4 linked regions of the Callithrix jacchus genome follow. The protein of the gene in region 1 interacts with the protein of each later gene in a pairwise test. Links are inferred from orthologs where the notes say so. Each region holds a gene or a part of one and is shown in the gene's direction. Other genes may lie near its edges.

Evidence for each region.
Region 2: the proteins of GOLGA2 (region 1) and C19H1orf35 interact in binary tests that used the Homo sapiens proteins (3 or more experiments, as listed by UniProt). The two-hybrid records come from large-scale screens. The link is inferred for Callithrix jacchus from reciprocal best matches to the Homo sapiens genes GOLGA2 and C1orf35.
Region 3: the proteins of GOLGA2 (region 1) and RAB39A interact in binary tests that used the Homo sapiens proteins (3 or more experiments, as listed by UniProt). The two-hybrid records come from large-scale screens. The link is inferred for Callithrix jacchus from reciprocal best matches to the Homo sapiens genes GOLGA2 and RAB39A.
Region 4: the proteins of GOLGA2 (region 1) and NDN interact in a two-hybrid assay, tested with the Homo sapiens proteins (2 studies listed by BioGRID and IntAct). The link is inferred for Callithrix jacchus from reciprocal best matches to the Homo sapiens genes GOLGA2 and NDN.

Annotation. Positions count from the first base shown.
Region 1 is NC_133502.1:176,882,217-176,887,140, reverse strand, and holds the start of GOLGA2 (golgin subfamily A member 2), read left to right. Parts: upstream 1-1,633; 5' UTR 1,634-1,773; coding exon of another isoform or gene 1,774-1,822; intron 1,823-2,136; coding exon of another isoform or gene 2,137-2,227; intron 2,228-2,229; coding exon of another isoform or gene 2,230-2,410; exon of another isoform or gene 2,411-2,416; intron 2,417-2,463; 5' UTR 2,464-2,547; coding exon 2,548-2,631; intron 2,632-4,253; coding exon 4,254-4,376; intron 4,377-4,924. UniProt on the Homo sapiens protein: Peripheral membrane component of the cis-Golgi stack that acts as a membrane skeleton that maintains the structure of the Golgi apparatus, and as a vesicle thether that facilitates vesicle fusion to the Golgi membrane.
Region 2 is NC_133520.1:38,924,656-38,929,661, reverse strand, and holds C19H1orf35 (multiple myeloma tumor-associated protein 2), read left to right. Parts: upstream 1-1,721; 5' UTR 1,722-1,811; coding exon 1,812-1,905; intron 1,906-1,982; coding exon 1,983-2,133; intron 2,134-2,342; coding exon 2,343-2,388; intron 2,389-2,469; coding exon 2,470-2,552; intron 2,553-2,651; coding exon 2,652-2,724; intron 2,725-2,875; coding exon 2,876-2,961; intron 2,962-3,506; coding exon 3,507-3,635; intron 3,636-3,714; coding exon 3,715-3,826; 3' UTR 3,827-4,227; downstream 4,228-5,006.
Region 3 is NC_133511.1:7,730,093-7,735,094, forward strand, and holds the start of RAB39A (ras-related protein Rab-39A), read left to right. Parts: upstream 1-1,717; 5' UTR 1,718-1,872; coding exon 1,873-2,099; intron 2,100-5,002. UniProt on the Homo sapiens protein: The small GTPases Rab are key regulators of intracellular membrane trafficking, from the formation of transport vesicles to their fusion with membranes.
Region 4 is NC_133507.1:5,529,728-5,534,038, forward strand, and holds NDN (necdin), read left to right. Parts: upstream 1-1,426; 5' UTR 1,427-1,514; coding exon 1,515-2,480; 3' UTR 2,481-3,326; downstream 3,327-4,311. UniProt on the Homo sapiens protein: Growth suppressor that facilitates the entry of the cell into cell cycle arrest.

The DNA of each region.
Region 1 (4,924 bases):
GCCCCCCTGGGTTCAAGTGATTCTCCTGCCTCAGCCTCCCAAGTAGGTGGGATTACAGGTGCCTGCCACCACACCTGGCTAATTTTTGTATTTTTAGTAGAGATGTCATTTGAACATGTTGGCCGGGCTGGTCTCGAACTCCTGACCTCAGCTGATCCACTCGGCTTGGCCTCCCAAAGTGCTGGGATTATAGGCAGGAGCCACCATGCCTGGCAGAGCCTTGTTTTTAAAAATGGAAGGAATGGAAGTTGGGCATGGTGGCTCCTGCCTGTAATCCCAGCACTTTGGGAGGCAGAGGCAGGCGGGTTGCTTTGAGCTTATGAGTTTGAGACAAGCCTGGGCAACATGGTGAAAATCTGTCTCTACTCAAAATACAAAAAGTTAGCCAGGCATCATGGCACTTGCCTGTGGTCCCAGCTATTCGGTAGGCTGGGGTGGGAGGATGGGTTGGGCTTGGGAGGCAGAGGTTACAGTGAGCCCAGATTGCACCACTGCAAGCCAGCCTGGGTGACAGAGTGAAACTCTGTCTTAAAAAAAAAAAAAAAAAAAGAAAAAAAGGGAAGGAATAAATTAGCATGAATGAGAAAGGCATGATCTGTAGTTAGTTACCCCATGGTCAAAAACAGTGGAAACCAACTCACTTGCAGAGAGTTCAATCAGCCAAATGCTTTTGGCAAACTGTGGTTGCCACCTTGTCATCATCATCTGGGCTCACTGTGACTTGCCCTTCAGACCTTGCCTCTGACCCTGCCATCTCTGGAGAGCCCTCTTTGCAAGTCCAACCCTGGGCTCCCCCTCTCAGAACCCATGTGCATACTTGTTCTGGAACTGTTTTTTTGCCTGTGGCTCCTGGAGGACAGGGGGCTCTCTGGCACACACCTGTATTGCGCAGTTGCTAAATCAATAAACAAACAAATACAAAGTCTTTCCTGATCTAACTTCTTCTTTTTTTTTTTTTGAGACGTAGTCTAGCTCTGTTGCCCAGGCTGGAGTGCAGTGGGGCAATCTCGGCTTACTACAACTTCCACCTCCCTGGATGAAATGATTCTCCTGCCTCAGCCTCCTGAGTAGCTCGGATGACAGGCATGCACCACCACCCTCGGCTGATTTTTTTTATTTTTAGTAGAGATAGGGTTTCACCAAATTGGCCAGGCTGGTCTTGAACTCCTGACCTTATATAATCCACCCGCCTCAGCCTCTCAAAGTGCTGGGATTACAGATGTTAGCCACCTCTCCTGGTCCTCATGATCTAACTTGAGAGTGGTGGTGGTGGTAGTGGTAGTGGCAACTCCAACTGGGGGACGAGAGGAGGAAGAGGCTGCGTTTTGGGGGTGACTTGCCAGAGAAGAGGAGAGACTATTAGCAACTAAAGGAGTGGCCAAGGTGAACACCAGGCATTTTCCTGACTGGGGAGCTGTGGGTTTGTTTAAAGGCGCGGCTGGGTGAGGGGTGAAACCAGCAAGCAGGAGAGATGGCTGGTGCTTGACTGGAGTGAAAGGCATCTGAGGTGGCAGGAGACAGGAAGGGGAGGGAGAAGAGTTAAGACTAGGACAGGACAGGATAGCACTTCTTTGAAGACTGGCAGGCGGGAGGAAAGGAAGGGGAGGGATTGAGAAAAGACCTGGAGGTTCTCAGTCGGCTGGGAGACGACATGGAAGAGGGCCAAGTGGGGAACAGCTGCTGTTGGGATGGGGAGGATGGCTGGGAGCGGCAAGGATTCATACGGAGGGAGTGTCGGGGATGGGAAGGTGGGTGTGCGTAAGACATACTCACAGGGGATCGGAAGGCCCCGCGGCAACTTCGGGTAAGTCCTGATTCAGTCCTGCAGAGGAATCCGAGGGGAAAGCCTGATTGAACCCACAGTCCGCTCTGATAGGACAGGGATACCGTGGGGATGCGGGAGGAGAAGCGTCTGGGAAGTAGGAGGGGCTGGGAAGTAGGAGCGCCCGGAACTGAAAAGGGGACACATACGCTCCCAGGATCAGGGTAGAGACTCTCTAGGAAGGGGAAGTTCCGAGAGGGGGGTTGTCTGGAGCACTGGATGGGAGTCTTTGGAAGTGGTTTCTGGAAAGGCAAAGTCTGGGGCAGGGCTGTGAGGAGTCAGGAAAGAAACTGTGGAGTCCACTTCTCGCCCACCTCCTGAGCCCAGGGGTCCGAGGCCCCCGGATCAGGGGGTTGAGTGGCGCAAGAGGGTCCAGGGCGGGAGTCGGAGAACGGCCTCTCAGGTTCTGACCGCGAGCTCGAACGGTCGCACAGAAAGGTGCGCGCGCACCCAACGGCAACCTGCCCCGCTCCTCTCCTGGGATGGGCGGGGACAGCAGTTGCGTGCGCAGCTTTTGTTGTGACGCCACAGGTCCCTCTGGCCACGCCGCCGCCTGGCCACGCCTCCTTTCCGCTTCATCTTTCTCATTGGCCAATGGGCTTGGATCGTTGAGGCCACGCCCCTAATCTGCCCTCTAATAGCGCCCTGGTTACGCCTCCTCTGGCTCCGTCGCACAGCTGCGCGGTGGCTGACTGACTTGCGCAGTGGTTGCCGGGATTGCGCTGATGTGGCCCCAACCCCGCCTCCCTCCCCGCCCCGCGATGTCGGAAGAAACCCGACAGAGCAAATTGGCCGCAGCGAAGAAAAAGGTAAACCGCGCCGGGTCGCGGCCCCCCGACCCAGCCCCAGCCCCCCTCCTATGGCATGACCGCGGCCAGAGTCCCTGCCACTCCTGAGGCACACCGGGCTGGGCCCCCCGGCGCCTCTGGGCTGCCCCCACCAAAGTCTTGTCAGCCAGCCCCGCCCCCTCAACCGCCCAGCCCCCGCCCTCGCCAGTCGCCCCCGGGTGACTTTGGGCTGGTGACTCCCGGGGCTCCCCGCTCCAGACTCGGCCCTCACCTCCTGCCGCCCCAGGTCCAACTTCCCTGGGCTCTTTGGGCTGGTGTTTCCAAGGACCTCGGTCCCCACCAGCTCAGCCAGTGACTTTGGGCCCGAGACTCCAGGAGCTCCCCTCTCCAGACTCGGCCCTCACCTCCTGCAGCCCCACACCGGCTCTCCCTGGGCTCTTTGGGCTCGAGTCTCCAAGGACCTGGGTCCTGGCCCTGTGCTCCCCTCCCCCATCACAGAGCGGCGACTCGGACGTCGCGTCGATGTCCCCCCCACCCCCGGGAAGAGTGGAATGTAGTGACGTCACAACCCCTCTCGGAACCGTAATTAGTGCTCTAGACCAGCCTTTGATCTTAGGACCCAGCCCCATAAGTGTTCTCATCCCGTTTCTGGTTCCTCTGGTCACAGCATAAATTTCCAGCTGGAAGGGGAATGGGGGCTATGGGACCTAGGAGGGAGAGGTTTCAGGCTGCCTTACTCCCTTAACACAAACGTTGACAGTGTGAAAAGCCTGCACTTCCCCTGTGAGTTCAAAACGTTGGCAGTATCTCTGGTTGGCAATGTGAGAATGGGTTTGGTTTGGTTTTCTCCCAGGCTTCTACTCTCCAGAGAGACTTTAACATTTTTTTCTGATCTCTCTACCTCATATTCGAATTCTCCATGGTTCTGGGACCAGAGTGCCCTTTAATCAGTGGTCTTTGGAATGAGATCTGCTTATCTTCTTTGGAACAGGTCTTGGGAAATTGAACTTGGCAGCATGAATCTTTCTCATATCATCTCATCCTGGGGTACTTGGAGTGCCATGGATAAATATGTATCTTTCTTTCTGAAGCATCAGTTTCCCTTGATTCTCGTGAGAGAGAAAAACATTAATGTACTTAGGGATGACAGTCACATAAATGTGTGAGAATACACCAGACTTGGCTTGGGTTGTCCTCTTTCTGTTAAATTCCTAGATTTAACAGAAAGGCTGTCTTCTGCCATGAAGATACATTGATGTAAAAGTTTGAGAGGTATTCGTGCATTTCTTACCCTAACAAACATGTGAGGATGTATGATTCTAAACCACACAGTGTATAGTTCTTGCCTACTTAATTTTTGCTTTTCTACCTCTGCCTCTGGATTTGGCCCCTGGTAGCTGCTGATCTGTGGCAAAACCCCCGAGCTCAGAGTCAGAAGACTGAGTTTAAGTTCAATTATTGCCTTTTTTTAAGCCATGGTATCAGTCCCTCTCATTCACTAAGTGATTGTGATAAGACCTTGTACAGTTGTTGGTGGCATTAAATCAGATGGTCTATAAGACTATTTTGGAAAAATTGTAAGGTAGGATGTAACTGTAGGGGCGTGTAGTTCTCATGAGTATTACTGCTCTTCTTTTCCACAGCTAAGAGAATATCAGCAGAGGAATAGCCCTGGTGTTCCTGCAGGAGCAAAAAAGAAGAAGAAAATTAAAAATGGCAGTAGCCCTGAGACAACCAATTCTGGTGATTGCCACTCATCAGAGGATGTGAGTCTTGGCTGACCAGGCTCCTGGGGACAGGGGGCCCAAGGGGCAGTAGAGGGTAATTGTTATGATTGTGGAAGAACTGTCCGGTACTGGTTAAGAGTTCTGGGTTTGTATCGTACCTGTCCATCTGCTAGGGATATGATTTTGGTGCAAATTGTTGGAGCTTTTTGGGCCTCTCTTTTCATACCTGTAAAGTATTGTTTTATTTACACTTGCGAAGTTTAAATGAGATTTGTTATTGTTGTTGTGTTTATGTTAATCCCTAGTACAGGGCCTGTAAACACTTAGGACACCCAGGAAATGGTAGTTGCTGTTTCATTTTCCTCATCCCCAGTCTCAAGGGGAAGCCAGGCCAATGAGAACAGCCACTTGTCATCAGGCTATCCCTTTAGGAGTCACTGAAAGGGCCCCAGGGTGTGGTGAGGAGAGCCCCAGGTGCTAGAATTAGAAGATCTAACTTTTGAGTTCATCTTTGTCACCAGCTTGCTGGATTACTACAGAAAAACCACTTCTTTCCCTGGGCCTCAGTTTCTTCCTCATAAGATGAC
Region 2 (5,006 bases), on another chromosome or scaffold:
TGGACACTCTGACTTTTATTGAGTACAAAGCAGAGGGCCGGGTAGGTAGGGTGAGGCAGTGGCGGTCAGTGATAGGGTCAGGTAAATCACGTGTCTTGGAGATCGGGGCCCAGGTCCTTAAAGTGGAGGAGGCGAGGAGAAAACCTAATGCATCAGCACTTCTTCATACTTGTCGAGAAAGAACAAAGACATTAAAATTTATGTTACTTTTACTCATTCTAATCCAAGAAGAGGAACCAGGTGCAGAAGCGGAACATGAAGGTAGCCATGGAACGTCACCGCTGAGGCACAGCACAGCATAGAGACGGTTAAGCCCCTGAATGTCTGCAGGCCTCCCTGACAGCCACCAGGCCTACCGCAAGAGCTTGCGGGGAGCAGAGTTTTCTCCTAAGTCCTCCAAGGGAGGAGACATGTCAGACGTCTCCTTCCCTAGCTGGCTAAACAGCGGGCGCTTTCCCAGCGCTAATGCTGGCGCTGCCGCACAGCCGAGGTGCCTTCCAGCAGCCCTTAAGCAGGTGTGACAGAGGGCTTAGAGCACCTTGCTCTAGGGTCACCTCTTTCACAATGTTACTTCAGTTCCATGCTTCATGGCCCGAGAATCATCAGCAAAATTAAAAGGTTATATTGAGTATATATATATATGATTACATATGCATATGTGATTATGATTATAGGAATAACTGTGACTATATCGCTAATTCTTTTCTAGTTCAATATTTATATGGGAACAGGCTGAGGCTTCAGAGCCTTCCTTGCCTTGGCCCTTGCGGGGTCTCCCATCCACACCTTCCCGCCGCCTTCACGCAGTGGAAAGCTGCACAAGCCCTTGGAGTCCCTTTAAGAAGGCTCTGCCCTCTTGACCTAGTCACCTCTGAAACACCAGCGCCTTGGGGTGAGGATTTCACATGTGCACATTCAGTTACCGCAGCGGGGACAGGACCAGCTCTGAGGGCGCCTGGGCAGCTGCTTTTTCATCCACAAGTTCACTGGGTAATTCTCAGAAACTGCACAAATCATTAAGGGCATTCCCTTGTTAGGCGCCCCATACGGAATCGCGGCCGGCGGTGACCAACCAGTTGATGGTGTTAGCTAGGCCTGTCTTAGGAGTTTTCTTTCTTTCTTTTTTTTTTTTTTTTTTTTTTAAACGAGACAGGGATCTCATGGGCTCAAGTGATCCTCCCGTAGTCCCGTTGGGACTAAGCGCGCTCCTGTCCTGCCCATTTTAACCTTTTTTTTTTTCCAATTATTGGAGACAGAGTCTCCCTCTGTCGCCCAGGCTGGAGTGCACTGGCGCGATCTCGGCTCACTGCAACCTCCACCTCCCGGGTTCAAGCAATTCTCCTGCCTCAGCCTCCTGAGTAGCTGGGATTACAGGTGTGGACCACCACGCCCAGATAATTTTTGTGTTTTTAGTAGAGACGGGATTTAACGATGTTAGCCAAACTGGTCTGGAACTCCCGACCTCAAGCGATCCGCCCCCCTCGGCCTCTCAAAGTGCTGGGATTACAGGCTTGAGCCACCGCGCCCGGCCCATTTCAATCCTTTTTAAACGTCCAGTTCAAAGTCGTTCCCCCGCCGGGCAGGGCCGGTGCAGCAGTGCGCAGGCGCGCGAGGGCGGTGCATTCCGCCGGGGCCCAGAGCGCTGAGCCGGGACAGTGCGCTGCGCAGGCGCACGGGACGAAGCTGAGCGGGCTCAAGAGTGACGTTACGGCGCGCAACGCGGAGGCGGGGTCGGCCCAGGGTCCGACGGTAGAGGGTAGCGGGTCCGGGGTCTCAGGTCGCCGGCCGCAGGCCACGGTCGCCCCAGCACCATGTTCGGCTCCAGTCGCGGAGGCGTGCGCGGCGGTCAGGATCAGTTCAACTGGGAGGACGTGAAGACTGACAAGCAGCGGGAGAACTACCTGGGTGGGTGGGCGCGGCGGGCGGGCTCCGGGCTCCGGGCTCCCTGGCGGGCGCTGGACTCACGGCGCCTACGTCCGCAGGCAACTCGCTGATGGCGCCCGTAGGCCGCTGGCAGAAGGGCCGCGACCTCACCTGGTACGCCAAGGGCCGGGCGCCGTGCGCGGGCCCGAGCCGCGAGGAGGAGCTGGCAGCCGTGCGGGAGGCGGAGCGCGAGGCGCTGCTGGCCGCGCTGTGAGTGTCGGCGGGCAGCAGCGGGCGGGGCTTGGGACCGCGCGGCGGAGGCTGGTTGGGGCCGGGGGTGAAGGCTGGGGGCCCGGCTGGGCGGGGGCGGAGTTGCGGGGACTCGCTCGGGCGGGGCCCTCAGGACGAAGGCTGGAGTGGTGAGGACGCGTGCTGGGAAGAGATTCACTCCCCTGACGCCTGCCTCGATTTCCTCTCAGTGGCTACAAGAACGTGAAGAAGCAGCCCACGGGCCTGAGCAAGGAGGTAACTCCCCGGGGTGGGGGCGCGTGGAGGGCCGTGGGTGTGGGGCCGTCCCGAGAGCTCCCTTTGCTCCCCCACCTGCAGGACTTTGCGGAGGTCTGCAAGCGGGAAGGAGGCGACCCCGAGGAGAAGGGCGTGGACCGGCTGCTGGGGCTGGGGAGCACCAGGTGTGGGCCGGTTTCGTGGGGAGGGAGGGTCTGTGTGGGCTCGGTTACTCGGGTGAGGCGGGCCCCTGCCGGACTGTCCTGATCGCTGTGTTACTGCAGTGGCTCCGCAGGCCGCGTGGCGCTGTCGCGAGAGGACAAGGAGGCCGCCAAACTGGGGCTGTCTGTGTTCACGGTAACCACCCCCCACCCCTCGCCTGATCGCATCGGGGCCCACAGGGGTGGGACGGGCAGGGCACGGCATGGCACGGAGCTCCCTGGGGCGCTGCGGGGCGTGGTGTGGGGCCGGCCCGCACACTTCTCCCCAGAGCGCGCTTCATCTGCAGCACCACCGCGTGGAGAGCGGCGGGCCCGGGACTTCAGCAGCCTCGGCCAGGAGGAAGCCACGGGCGGAGGTTCAGACTGAAAGCAGGTGAGGCCGCCCCGGGGGATCTCGGGAGGACTGGAGCGGCTCCTAGGCAGGCAGGTGGCAGCTTCTCTTTGCGCACCGGCCTTGGCGGTGGCCTGCCCTACTTTCCTTCCTGTCTCTTACTCCTAGGTTTTTCCCCAGCGGAGTTTCTCGGGTCACCCTTGAAGGGAGGTCCTAAGTAATGGCAGTGGTTGGGGGCTGTGCTGTAGGAGGGCACTCATGACCTGGGCAGGAGCCTTTTTCTGCGTGGGTGGCACCTCGAGGGATTTTCCTGGGTAATGAGCCTGGGCTGTAACCCCAGGAGTGGCCTGTGGGTGCAGGTACGAGGAAGGTGTCACCTTGCAAGGGCACAGCTCAAGTGGAACAGGGCCATGCAGTCGAGATAGGGATATTGCATCTGTCTCAGTGGCCATGTGACTGCGTGACTGAGGAGCGAAATCTGTAATCTCATTTAACTGATTTAAAGATGCATTTGTGGGTGGTGGCTTCATCTCCTGGATGGGACCTGCCTGTGCTCACTCTCTGAGGCGCATTTTGTACCCTCCCAGCTCTGAAAGCCACAGGAAAAGCAAGAAGGAGAAGAAGAAAAAGAAAAAGAAGAAACACAAAAAAGAGAAAAAGAAAGACAGAGACAGGCGACCAGCTGAGGCCGCCACCTCTCCCACATCTCCCGAGAAGTATGCCCTGGCCCATGTCTTGGGGGTAGGGGTTTGGTTGACCCCCACCTCTATGAGTGACTGCCCTTGGTCTTCCCAGGCCCAGGCACTGCCACCATGACTGTGACTCCGACTTCCCCTGCTGCAAGAGGAGGAAGCGGGGACACAGTGGGGACAGGAGCCCATCTTGCAGGCGGCATGACAGACTCTGAAGTCTGATGGTTGGACCCTGCTCACTGCTACTGTGGGAACTGGAACTCTCCCTTCACCTTGCTTGCCTCCTGCCTCAGGAAAGCCCCTTGTGTGGGTGAGACCTGAGGCTGCTCCTGTGGAGTGGCTCTGGGCACCAGCCTGTGGGGTAAAGGCTGCACAGCTAGCTCTGGAGCAGCCAGCTTCCTGGAAGACCTCCAGGTTTCGCACAGCAGGGATGGCCCCTGGCTTGCCCTGCGAAGGTGAGCCTGCCCACAGGTACCCGTAGAGGCTGGACTCCCCGTGTCCTGCTCATGGCTGTAGCAGCCATGGGCCTATGAGCAATCTACCTGTGGCCAAATACGGTGATCTCTATTTTTCCTTACGTTGACTCTATATTTCAATAAATATATTTTAAAAGAAAGGTGTATCATCCTAATTGGAAGGTCAGTATCAGGAGTTAACGAGATCCCAGGATGGAGCTGCGCCCTAATGCTTCGTTAACGTCCAAGAATGCAGTCCTCCCATGGGTGCCCAAAACCCTACCCATACCCAGGGAGGGCTGAGGCCCTGGAAAGGGGTGCTCAGCTGGCAATGTGGGGACCTGGGACAGGTGAGGTCAAGGACTGCAGAGTCTGGAGGGGTAACCTCAGTTGAGTGAGGTTTGGGGACTCTACCTGCCTGCCAAGACCCAGCTGCCTCAACCCTCAGCTCTGCTTCTTCTAGGGCAGTGGGCTAGGTGTCCCGTTTGCCTGACCCTGAGAAGAGTCAGGGCTGTTCAGGACATGTGTGGGCACCTGGACTGGATCACGGCTCACTGCAGTCTCAGAAAACTTCCTTAGGGCCCTGGCCAAGGTGTGGCTCCTGTGGCTTTGACCTCTGCCCTTGCCCTCACATAGCCACTGGAGTGGAGATGGCACTATCTGTCTTGGGCACTGTCAAGGGGGATGAAGGTCGGGCCACCTGGCCAGGACATCCTCACCTTTTGGGACTCTGCCCAACAGAACACAGACCTTGGACCTGCTGATGGCTACACCCCATAGAAGTACCCCCAGACTGGCAGCCCTCTGCTTCATGACATTTTGAGGAGAGGTGGGGGCTGTGCCCACTCAGGCAGGGACCATTCCCCGGCTGGCACAAAGCACCATGTATGCTGGCAGTGGCCCAGCCCCACAGCCAGCAGGCTGATGGGAGGGAGGGAGG
Region 3 (5,002 bases), on another chromosome or scaffold:
AAAGCCAGGCGCGGTGGCTCACGCCTTAATCCTAGCACTTTGGGAGGCCGAGGTGGGTGGATCACCTAAGGTCAGTAGTTCAAGACCAGCCTGGCCATCATGGTGAAACCCCATCTTTAAAAAAAAAAAAAAAAAAAAAAAAAAAATTTTTTTTTTTAAGATAAACCTTGACATCATTATTACTCAGTTTGAGGAAAGGCACAAGAAAGTAGTAAGATCTCGCCAGAATTTAAATTCTGCTTTGTTTTTTGTTGTTGTTGTTGTTGTTGTTTTTTGAGACGGAGTTTTGCTCTTGTTACCCAGGCTGGAGTGCAATGGCGTGATCTCGGCTCACCGCAACCTCCGCCTCCTGGGTTCAGGCAATTCTCCTGCCTCAGCCTCCCGAGTAGCTGGGATTACAGGCACGCGCCACCGTGCCCCGCTAATTTTTTGTATTTTTAGTAGAGACGGGGTTTCACCATGTTGACCAGGATGGTCTCGATCTCTTGACCTCGTGATCCACCCGCCTCGGCCTCCCAGAGTGCTGGGATTACAGGTGTGAGCCACCGCGCCCGGCCTAAATTCTGCTTTGTTTACTTACATCATTGATCAGACATGAGCTAAGAGACCACCTGTTCACTTTTTTCTGTCTTAAAATATGGAGACCAAAGAGAGATGAAACTTTCATCAGCATCTCAACATTTTCCCTGCCTTTTTTTTTTTTTTCCGATTGTCCCTGGGGTTGGAGGGAGAGGGTATGGTGATGATAGTTGGCGTTTCTGAGTCTTCTGTGGTACTCACAGAGGTGAAGAACAGACAGTGGGAGCATGCAGCAACAGCCAGAGCCCTTCCTGGAAGCACCGAGAACTAGTTCTGCAAATGTATTTCAGTCTTGCCCAAAACTCCATCACCTTAAAACCCCTTGGAGGTGGCTCTCATCAAGACTAGAAAGCAGGGTACGGTGGCTCACGCCTGTAATCCTAGCACTGGGAGGCCGAGCCTGGAGGAGCGCTTGAGGTCAGGAGTTCAAGACCAGGCTGAACCCCATCTCTACAAAAAAATGAAAAAATTAGCCTGGTGTGCTGTTCCCCGCCTGTAGTCCCAGCTACTCAGGTGGCTGAAGTGGGTGGATCGCTTGTGCCCATGAGTTCAAGACCAGCCTAAGCAACATAGTGAGACCAAGTCTCTAAAATAACACATTAAAAACCCAGAAAAAAATTAGCCAGGTGTGGTGGCGCACACCTGTGGTCCCAGCTACTTGGGAGGCTGAGGTGTGCAGATCGCTTGAGGCTACAGTGAGCCGAGATCGCACCACTGCACTCCAGCCTGGAGGATAGAACGATACCCAGCCTCAAAAAGAAAAAAAGAAAAGAAAAAACAAAAGTGGGAGGAAGCAAAGCAATGACCCAAGTTATGGCCTCAGGGACTTCCAAAAGCAAAGCCCTAATCTGACGAGCCCGCCCTGACGCCTATAAGAAAATGACTCTCACTTTTCATTGGCTGACCCTCCGGGAGTTCAGACCTTGCTTCATTTTCCTTGGTTGTTGCTGGTGTCACGTCTTCTGGCCACGCCCACTTTCCGGCCGGCGACCAGTGAGCGTTGAGCGATAGTGATTTGCAGTCGGTCAGGGGCGGGGGTTCGCGGCAGAAAAGCCTACTTCCCCCTCCCACGCGCCCCCGCCCCGCCCCCGTCCCGAGGCCCCGCCCCTAGCTGGGCCGGGCCCCGCCTCTCTCTCCCGAGAGGGCGGGCACCAGGCGGCGGCCGCAGCCGCAGCCGCAGGAATATGCTGGAAGGCGGCGGGCGGGCTCCCGCGAGGTGCTGAAGGGACAGTTCCCGCCGCCGAACTTACCCCGCGGGTGGGGCGGCCCGGGAGCCAGCGGGGCACGTGAGCGATGGAGACCATCTGGATCTACCAGTTCCGCCTCATCGTGATCGGGGACTCCACCGTGGGCAAGTCCTGCCTCCTTCACCGCTTCACCCAGGGCCGCTTCCCCGGGCTGCGCTCCCCCGCCTGCGACCCCACCGTCGGCGTGGACTTCTTCTCCCGCCTGCTGGAGATCGAGCCGGGCAAGAGGATCAAGCTGCAGCTCTGGGACACGGCGGGACAGGAGCGGTTCAGGTAGGGACCCCGGGGACCGCGGGCACCGCGCCGCCCTCTCGGCCCACCGGGACGCCCCTTCCCAGGCGCTCGCCCCGCCGGCCTGGTCGGGAGTGGCTCTGGCCCTTCCCTCTCCAAAGTGCAAACACTCCATTCTCGCTTCCCCTTTGCCCCTCCTCTTCCAGGGACGACTTCCTCCTCCGCAATTTCTCACTTCTTTCTTTGGCGCCCATTTCCTGCGCCCCCTTTCCGTCTTTCCTTTCCCGCCTGAACCGGGGTCGTCCTCGCAGCCCCCTCTTCCCCAACTCTTTCGGCCCCTGTGGGTATTTTGGTCCCCTTCGGCTCCCCCGCTGCCTTCTCCCCAAACTCGGCTTCCCTGGCTGCGCACAGCCTGACCCCACCACCAAGCAGGCGCCCCTTTTCCTGCCCTAACCCAGCGGCTCCCACGCTGTGTGGCCCGGGAGAACCGCGAGGGAGGGTTCCCAGATTCGTGATGGATCCTTTAGCTGCACAGCGAGGAGCGCTCCAACCCAGGTTCCCGCATGAGCTCACTGGGCATGGTTCACAGGGAGGCGGATGCGGTAATGGTTTGGGCACCTCACAGCACTCAATGTGGTCATCAGAAATAATGGGTCATGACCCGTGGGAATGGGTCTTGTAGGTAAACTAGATACAACATCAGGGACGCCGGCACAGCTGAGGGTGTGTGTGTGTGTGTGTGTGTGTGTGTGTGAAGGGTTGAGTTGTCTTTAGAAGTTTGTCATGTTTGGTGGGAAAAAGAGATATATTGAGATTTGCCAGGAACTTTTATTTTGCTTATTTATGATCAATACTTAATGTTCCAGGGTGATAATATTTATAAAGAGAGAAGGAGGGATCCAAATTAATAGACTCCTCCTAAATATTCACTGGGGACATGAAGGGTTTCACAAAGACGACTGGTATAAATAAAAAGTAAATAAAATTATATGCATTTCCTGAGTATTTGAGATGAAGCAGGTTTAAGGCACATTTTAAATGTCTACGATTCAAAGGCACTTGGTTTGAGAGGAAGATGGTGAAAATGATACATTGCACTGTTCTGTTTCTTAAAGACTGCATTATCCATTGGAACTCATTTAGGGAAGCATTTTGCGTTAGTCAGCAAGTACTCTGCTTGTGAAATGCAGTGTTCCATGAGGGGACTTCCCAAACATGGCTTCCCCTCTCCCCCAGCCAGCATCACTGCCAATGAGATCAGCCTACATCTGTGAGAATGGTCCAACATTCAAAGTTTTGGCTTCCGTTCCCAGCAATGATGCTGATTCATAGAGATAATGAGTGAACTGCTTAGCTGGCTTATACCTTAGTTTTCCTGTGTGTGAAGTGGAAAGAGGGTAAGGCCAGCCCTTCAGAGAGGTGTTAAAAGATTATCGATTGGATTTGTACAACATTTAGGATTCCCTGAAAAATGTTTTTACTTTTCAAGAAGCTTCCTTTATTTTTATTTATTTATTTATCGTTATTATTTGGTGATGGAGTCTCGCTCTGGCGCCCAGGCTGGAGTGCCATGGCTTAACCTCTGCCTCCCCGGTTCAAGCAATTCTCCTGCCTCAGCCTCCCAAGTAGCTGGGATTACAGGTACACGCCACCACACCCAACTAATTCTTTGTATTTTAGTAGAGACAGGGTTTCACCGCTGTTGTCCAGGCTGGTCTCGAACTCCTGAGCCCCAGGCAATCTGCCCACCTCAACCTCCCAAAGTGCTGGGATTACAGGCATGAGCCATCACACCTAGCCAAGAAGCCTCCTATAATTAAAATAATTTTTCAAACTTTTGATTTCTTTTTTTCTTTTTTTTTTCAGAGTCAGCGTTTCACTTGTTGGTCAAGGTGGTTTTGAACTCCTGACCTGAGGTGATCCACCCACTTTGGCCTCCCAAAGTGCTGGGATTATAGGCATGAACTACCACGCCCTGCCAAATTTTGGATTTCTTATCTGTAAAATGAGAGTCATTATGATCTCTAACATTCCTTCCGGTTTTACCATTCTAATGTTAATTGCAAATTCCTTCACATGAGATCTTTTACAAAATTTTTGTAAATTTTAAAATTTACAAAAGGTAAATTTTAAGATACTTGAGGGTCAGAAGAAAAGCATTTGCCAATAGGTCTTGACCCACTCTCTAAAGTGAGTACGATAAAAATCTTTATGTCTTAAACTTCTAACAGCTACTTTGAGTTGCAACTATAAGAAACATGGTTAGGCCAGGTGCGGTGGCTCACGCCTATAAATCCCAGTACTTTGGGAGGCTGAGGCGGGTGGATCACGACGTCAAGAGATGGAGACCATCCTGGTCAACATGGTGAAACCCCGTCTCTACTAAAAATACAAAAATTAGCTGGGCATGGCGGTGCCCGCCTGTAGTCCCAGCTACTCGGGAGGCTGAGGCAGGAGAATTGCTTGAACCCAGGAGGCAGAGGTTGCAGTGAGCCAAGATCGTGCCATTGCACTCCAGCCTGGGTAACAAGAGCGAAACTCCATCTCAAAAAAAAAAAAGAAACATGGTTAATAAAATTTTATTGTATTTAATTATTTTCTTAAAAGTAGCTCAACATACTTACAAGAAAATAAAGGATAATTAATGTATTAAACTTTAAAGACCTTTCTGTTACCTGGCTGATTGTTTTTAATGCCTTGAAGAAGAATGTAAATAGTCATTCATTTTATATACATTATTAAAACCAAACAGTAACTCTCGCGTTATAATGCAAGGACTTTGAGGGAATGTTTACTGACAATGAGTCATACTTTATTTTGTTTGGCTCTTTACCAAAGTTATATTTGTAAATACATACATATTTCAGTAGCTACCTCCAAATAATTGCTTTTCTCTCATTTACCAGAATGGTTCACCATAAAATGACATGTAAAACAATTACTGT
Region 4 (4,311 bases), on another chromosome or scaffold:
AGTGGGAAGCTAAAGAGACCAAAGAGTCCTGTTGGAGGGACTGGCGTGGGAATGGCCCTGTCAAAAGTGTCACATGCATGCCAACCCAACCAGAGAAAGCACAGAAAACCCTTCAACACCAACCTGCTTGAGGAAAATTAAAGTGACAAATGAGAAAAGATAGATACTCATAGTGAGGACTCTAGACATGTCAAGACAATTTTAAAACATGCTTTGGGCTTCAAGTGGCAATAACTAGACTCGAGACAACATATTTAAGAAGCTGCTGATGAGAGGGAACCCGGCAAGGGCTGAAGGACCACATCAACGCAGACCAAGGATGCTGAAGCAGCATGGAGGCCCCTGGTTGTGGAGGCTCCAGCAATGCCCCTTTTTCCACGGACAGCCTCTAGGAGTGACAGCTTTGCCTTGGCCCACTGGGAATCTGTTTTCTATAACTGGAAAACAGGGCTATCCATATGTTGCCCCCGCTACCTTTTGGTCATCTGAGACACCGCCAGATATTGCCCATGGGACCTATATCTTTTTGGAGATCTCAGGAAGGAATGATTTGGGTGTGACTCCCAACACTGAGGACTCAGTAGCTTCAGAGAAGGTCCTGGGAGAAGGTGAATCGGAGAATGAGGTGCTGGGCAGAGGGAAAAATGCATTATCATACAAGTTTGTGCTAATAGATATGGCAATCCTTCTGTTATGGACTAAGCATGGAAAAATAAAAGAAAATGGAATCAAAGTGACTCAAAGTAAGTGTAAAAGCCAAACCTATGCCCATGAAAGCATCAATGATGGTCTAAGCCCACTGCCTCCTGAACAAGTTCACGGCTCACGCGGGTAGGAAATCACGTTAACGACACGCTGCATTTCTCCTTTCCTTATAACCGCATTTCTCCTTTCCTTATAACCCCTCTGATGTGGTAGGGAGGGAGTCAATCAACTTTTTATTGGAATTTCTCAGGATTCCAACCTCGGACATCCGCCTCACAGTTTACACGTCTTCTCGGACAGCCCGACCGTTCCTCTCACTCGTTCACATAAAGCTCCAGTTTGCACAGCCTCCCAGACCTTCCTCTGGGGCTCTCATACTTAACTGGATTCTGGATATACCCAGGCGAGCATTTCCCAGGAAAGTCGACCCCAGCATCCCCAAAACCTGAGTTATCATCTTTCCCCAAAACCTGCTCCTTCTCCACAGGCATCCATCTCCCTCCTCTCCTACCCTGAACTTCCTCGGCCGGAACAGGAAACCCCGGGATCGCTGTCCCGCCAGGTGACGCCTCACCGCGGACCCTCCCCGTCGGGGCCCCTCGCGGCCCCGCCCGCCCCCGGCCGCCCGCCCGCCCTGGCCGCGGTCGCGCAGGCGCAGTGCCGCGTCCCGCCGCCGCCCCGCCCTGCCCGCCGCTGCGGAAGGCGCCGCGCGCAGCAACGCGCACTTCCTCTCCAGGAGTCCGCGGAGGGAGCGCAGGCTCGAAGAGCTCCTGGACGCAGAGGCCCTGCCCTTGCCAGACGGCGCAGACATGTCAGAGCAGAGTAAGGATCTGAGCGACCCTAGCTTTGCCGCCGAGGCACCCAGCTCCGAGGCGCAGAGCAGCCCTGGGGTTCCGGGGGGGGTTCCTCCGTCCGCGACCCTGGCGGAGCCGCAGAGCCCTCCCCTAGGCCCGACGGCCGCCCCGCAGGCCGCGCAGCCGCCCCAGGCCCCGATCGAGGAGGTCGACCCGAAGGCTTTGCTGGAGGCCGCAGAGGAGGGCCGCGCCCACCAGGCCCCGAGCGCGGCCCAGCCCGGCCCGGCGCCGCCCGCCCCGGCGCAGCTGGTGCAGAAGGCGCACGAGCTCATGTGGTACGTGCTGGTCAAGGACCAGAAGAAGATGATCATCTGGTTTCCAGACATGGTGAAAGATGTCATCGGCAGCTACAAGAAGTGGTGCAGGAGCATCCTGCGGCGCACCAGCCTCATCCTCGCCCGGGTGTTCGGGCTGCACCTGAGGCTGACCAGCCTGCACACCATGGAGTTTGCGCTGGTCAAAGCGCTGGAGCCGGAGGAGCTGGACAGGGTGGCGCTGAGCAACCGCATGCCCATGACGGGCCTCCTGCTCATGATCCTGAGCCTCATCTACGTGAAGGGCCGCGGCGCCAGAGAGAGCGCCGTCTGGAACGTGCTGCGCATCCTGGGGCTGCGGCCCTGGAAGAAGCACTCCACCTTCGGGGACGTGCGAAAGCTCATCACCGAGGAGTTCGTCCAACAGAATTACCTGAAGTACCAGCGCGTCCCGTACGTGGAGCCGCCAGAGTATGAGTTCTTCTGGGGCTCCCGGGCCAGCCGTGAAATCACCAAGATGCAAATCATGGAGTTCCTGGCCAGGGTCTTTAAGAAAGACCCCCAGGCCTGGCCCTCCCGATACAGAGAAGCCCTGGAGGAGGCCAGAGCTCTGCGGGAGGCTAATCCCGCTGCTCACTGCCCCCGCAACAGTGTCTCCGAGGACTAGCAAGGTCTGGAGGCAGATGAAATGCTTTCTGACCCTCACCGGGGCTGTGGAAGGGTGGGGGTGGGTCATTAGAGTGTTCGGGATTTACAGTGCAGTATTCACGTGTAACTTTTAAGTTTTCAGTACAGTGCTTTTATACCTTTAATGCAATGTTGTATTCATTTGGGTACTCTTGTGTAGTATTTAGGATGTATGCATGTTTGTTTATATGTAAGCTTGGTTGGTGCTTTCGCTTTTGTGCTACCTTTCTTGGATTTTTGTACCTGAGACATGCTAAACTGACGAAGTACCTTGAGAAAGTTTGCATCTTATTATTTTATATGGGACTGGTGATGTGTGTTGGGGTAGACTGCTCCTGCAGAGTTTGGAAGAACTCACCAGCAAAGCTGGCCTAACCAAGAGAAAAGTCAAGGCTCTTCGTGACCTTGCTGGGCACAGAAGACATTCTCGTGGAGTAAACTGATTTGAACTGGACTGGTCTCAATGTGAGCACTTGGCACAATTTACTAAACACATATACAACCCTACCGTGAGTCAACTTTAAAGTAAACATTAAAGATTCTTGTGATACAATCATTTTTGGAAAAGTGTACTCTTATCATTTTAACAGAGCACTATGATTGGGAATGAGACAATTCTCTATTTTACAATGTGTACAGATGTAACTGTTTCCCCTAATAGGGTGGGAAAAATCGCTACTCGTGATTACTCCTAAATTTGTGAAGGTTATAGTTTTATTGTCTTTAAATGTAATTGTTTATTTCAAAAACATGCACAAATATAAAGTATAAAAACAAAGCAGTATGATTGTCCATCATCACATCATATGAGAATAAAAACTAAAAATAACTTCCTTCCCTTAAGTTTCTATATTTTATCAAAATTAATGGATGTCTTGTGGGCACTTAAAGAGTGAGACATTGTACTCAGCCCTAACATGTATTTTTCCCCTTTTATTTAACCCTCACAACAGGCCTGTGAGGAAGGCATCTACTGCCTTTGCACCATGGAGGAAACAGGAATAATGTAGGTAATTAACTTTCCATAGCTTGTAAAGGTTAGCAAGAGAAGGAGCTGGCACTTCAACTCAGAATGAATCCAGAGCCCACATTTGTCCCCACCTGCCTACAATCCCTCATACACCCTGTGGCTTTTAGGTTATTTATTTTCAAACTTATTTTTACATTTTACGTGGGAGCCCACACTCCCAGCTCCCACCTCCCACACTCACATGCATTCATGGGCCACACAGAGAGAGAGGCTAGGAATTTTATTTTTCTAGTTCTCACAATATTTTGGAGAAAGCAAGATTATTCTGATTGTGTAAATTAAGAAATTTTCATCTTGTTTTTGGAATTTCCAGCCAAAAAAATATTTTGTGGAGAGATTAATTAACATAAGAAAGTGATATTCATTCTTGTTTAGCAGTGAAGCCTGGATTTGAAACAGTGTTTCCTGAGGGTTGGAGGTGAAGGTGCTTTCTCTGACAAACACACAAGACACCTGGGAGAGGGGGGTGGGGTTGCCCATCAGGATATCTGTGACCTGGCAGCCCTTGATTTGCGAGGTAATCAGGTAATCCTCAGAGGATGGGATGGGCTTCAGGTGGGCTCCAGGGGCAATGCCCAAAGAAAAATATCATTGTGAATTTTCAGTCCTGCAAGGGGTAGCAGGGAGAAAAGGGCCTTTAATAAGACTGGAAGTCCTTTAAACTACAAAAGAGTCCAAAGCCAGAAAGTTTTCTGGGGAAGATGGGTAATAAAGAGGACACGCATCACGTAACACCGGAAAGAAGTAAACTGGGAGTCTTATTAGGGAAAAGGAATTACAA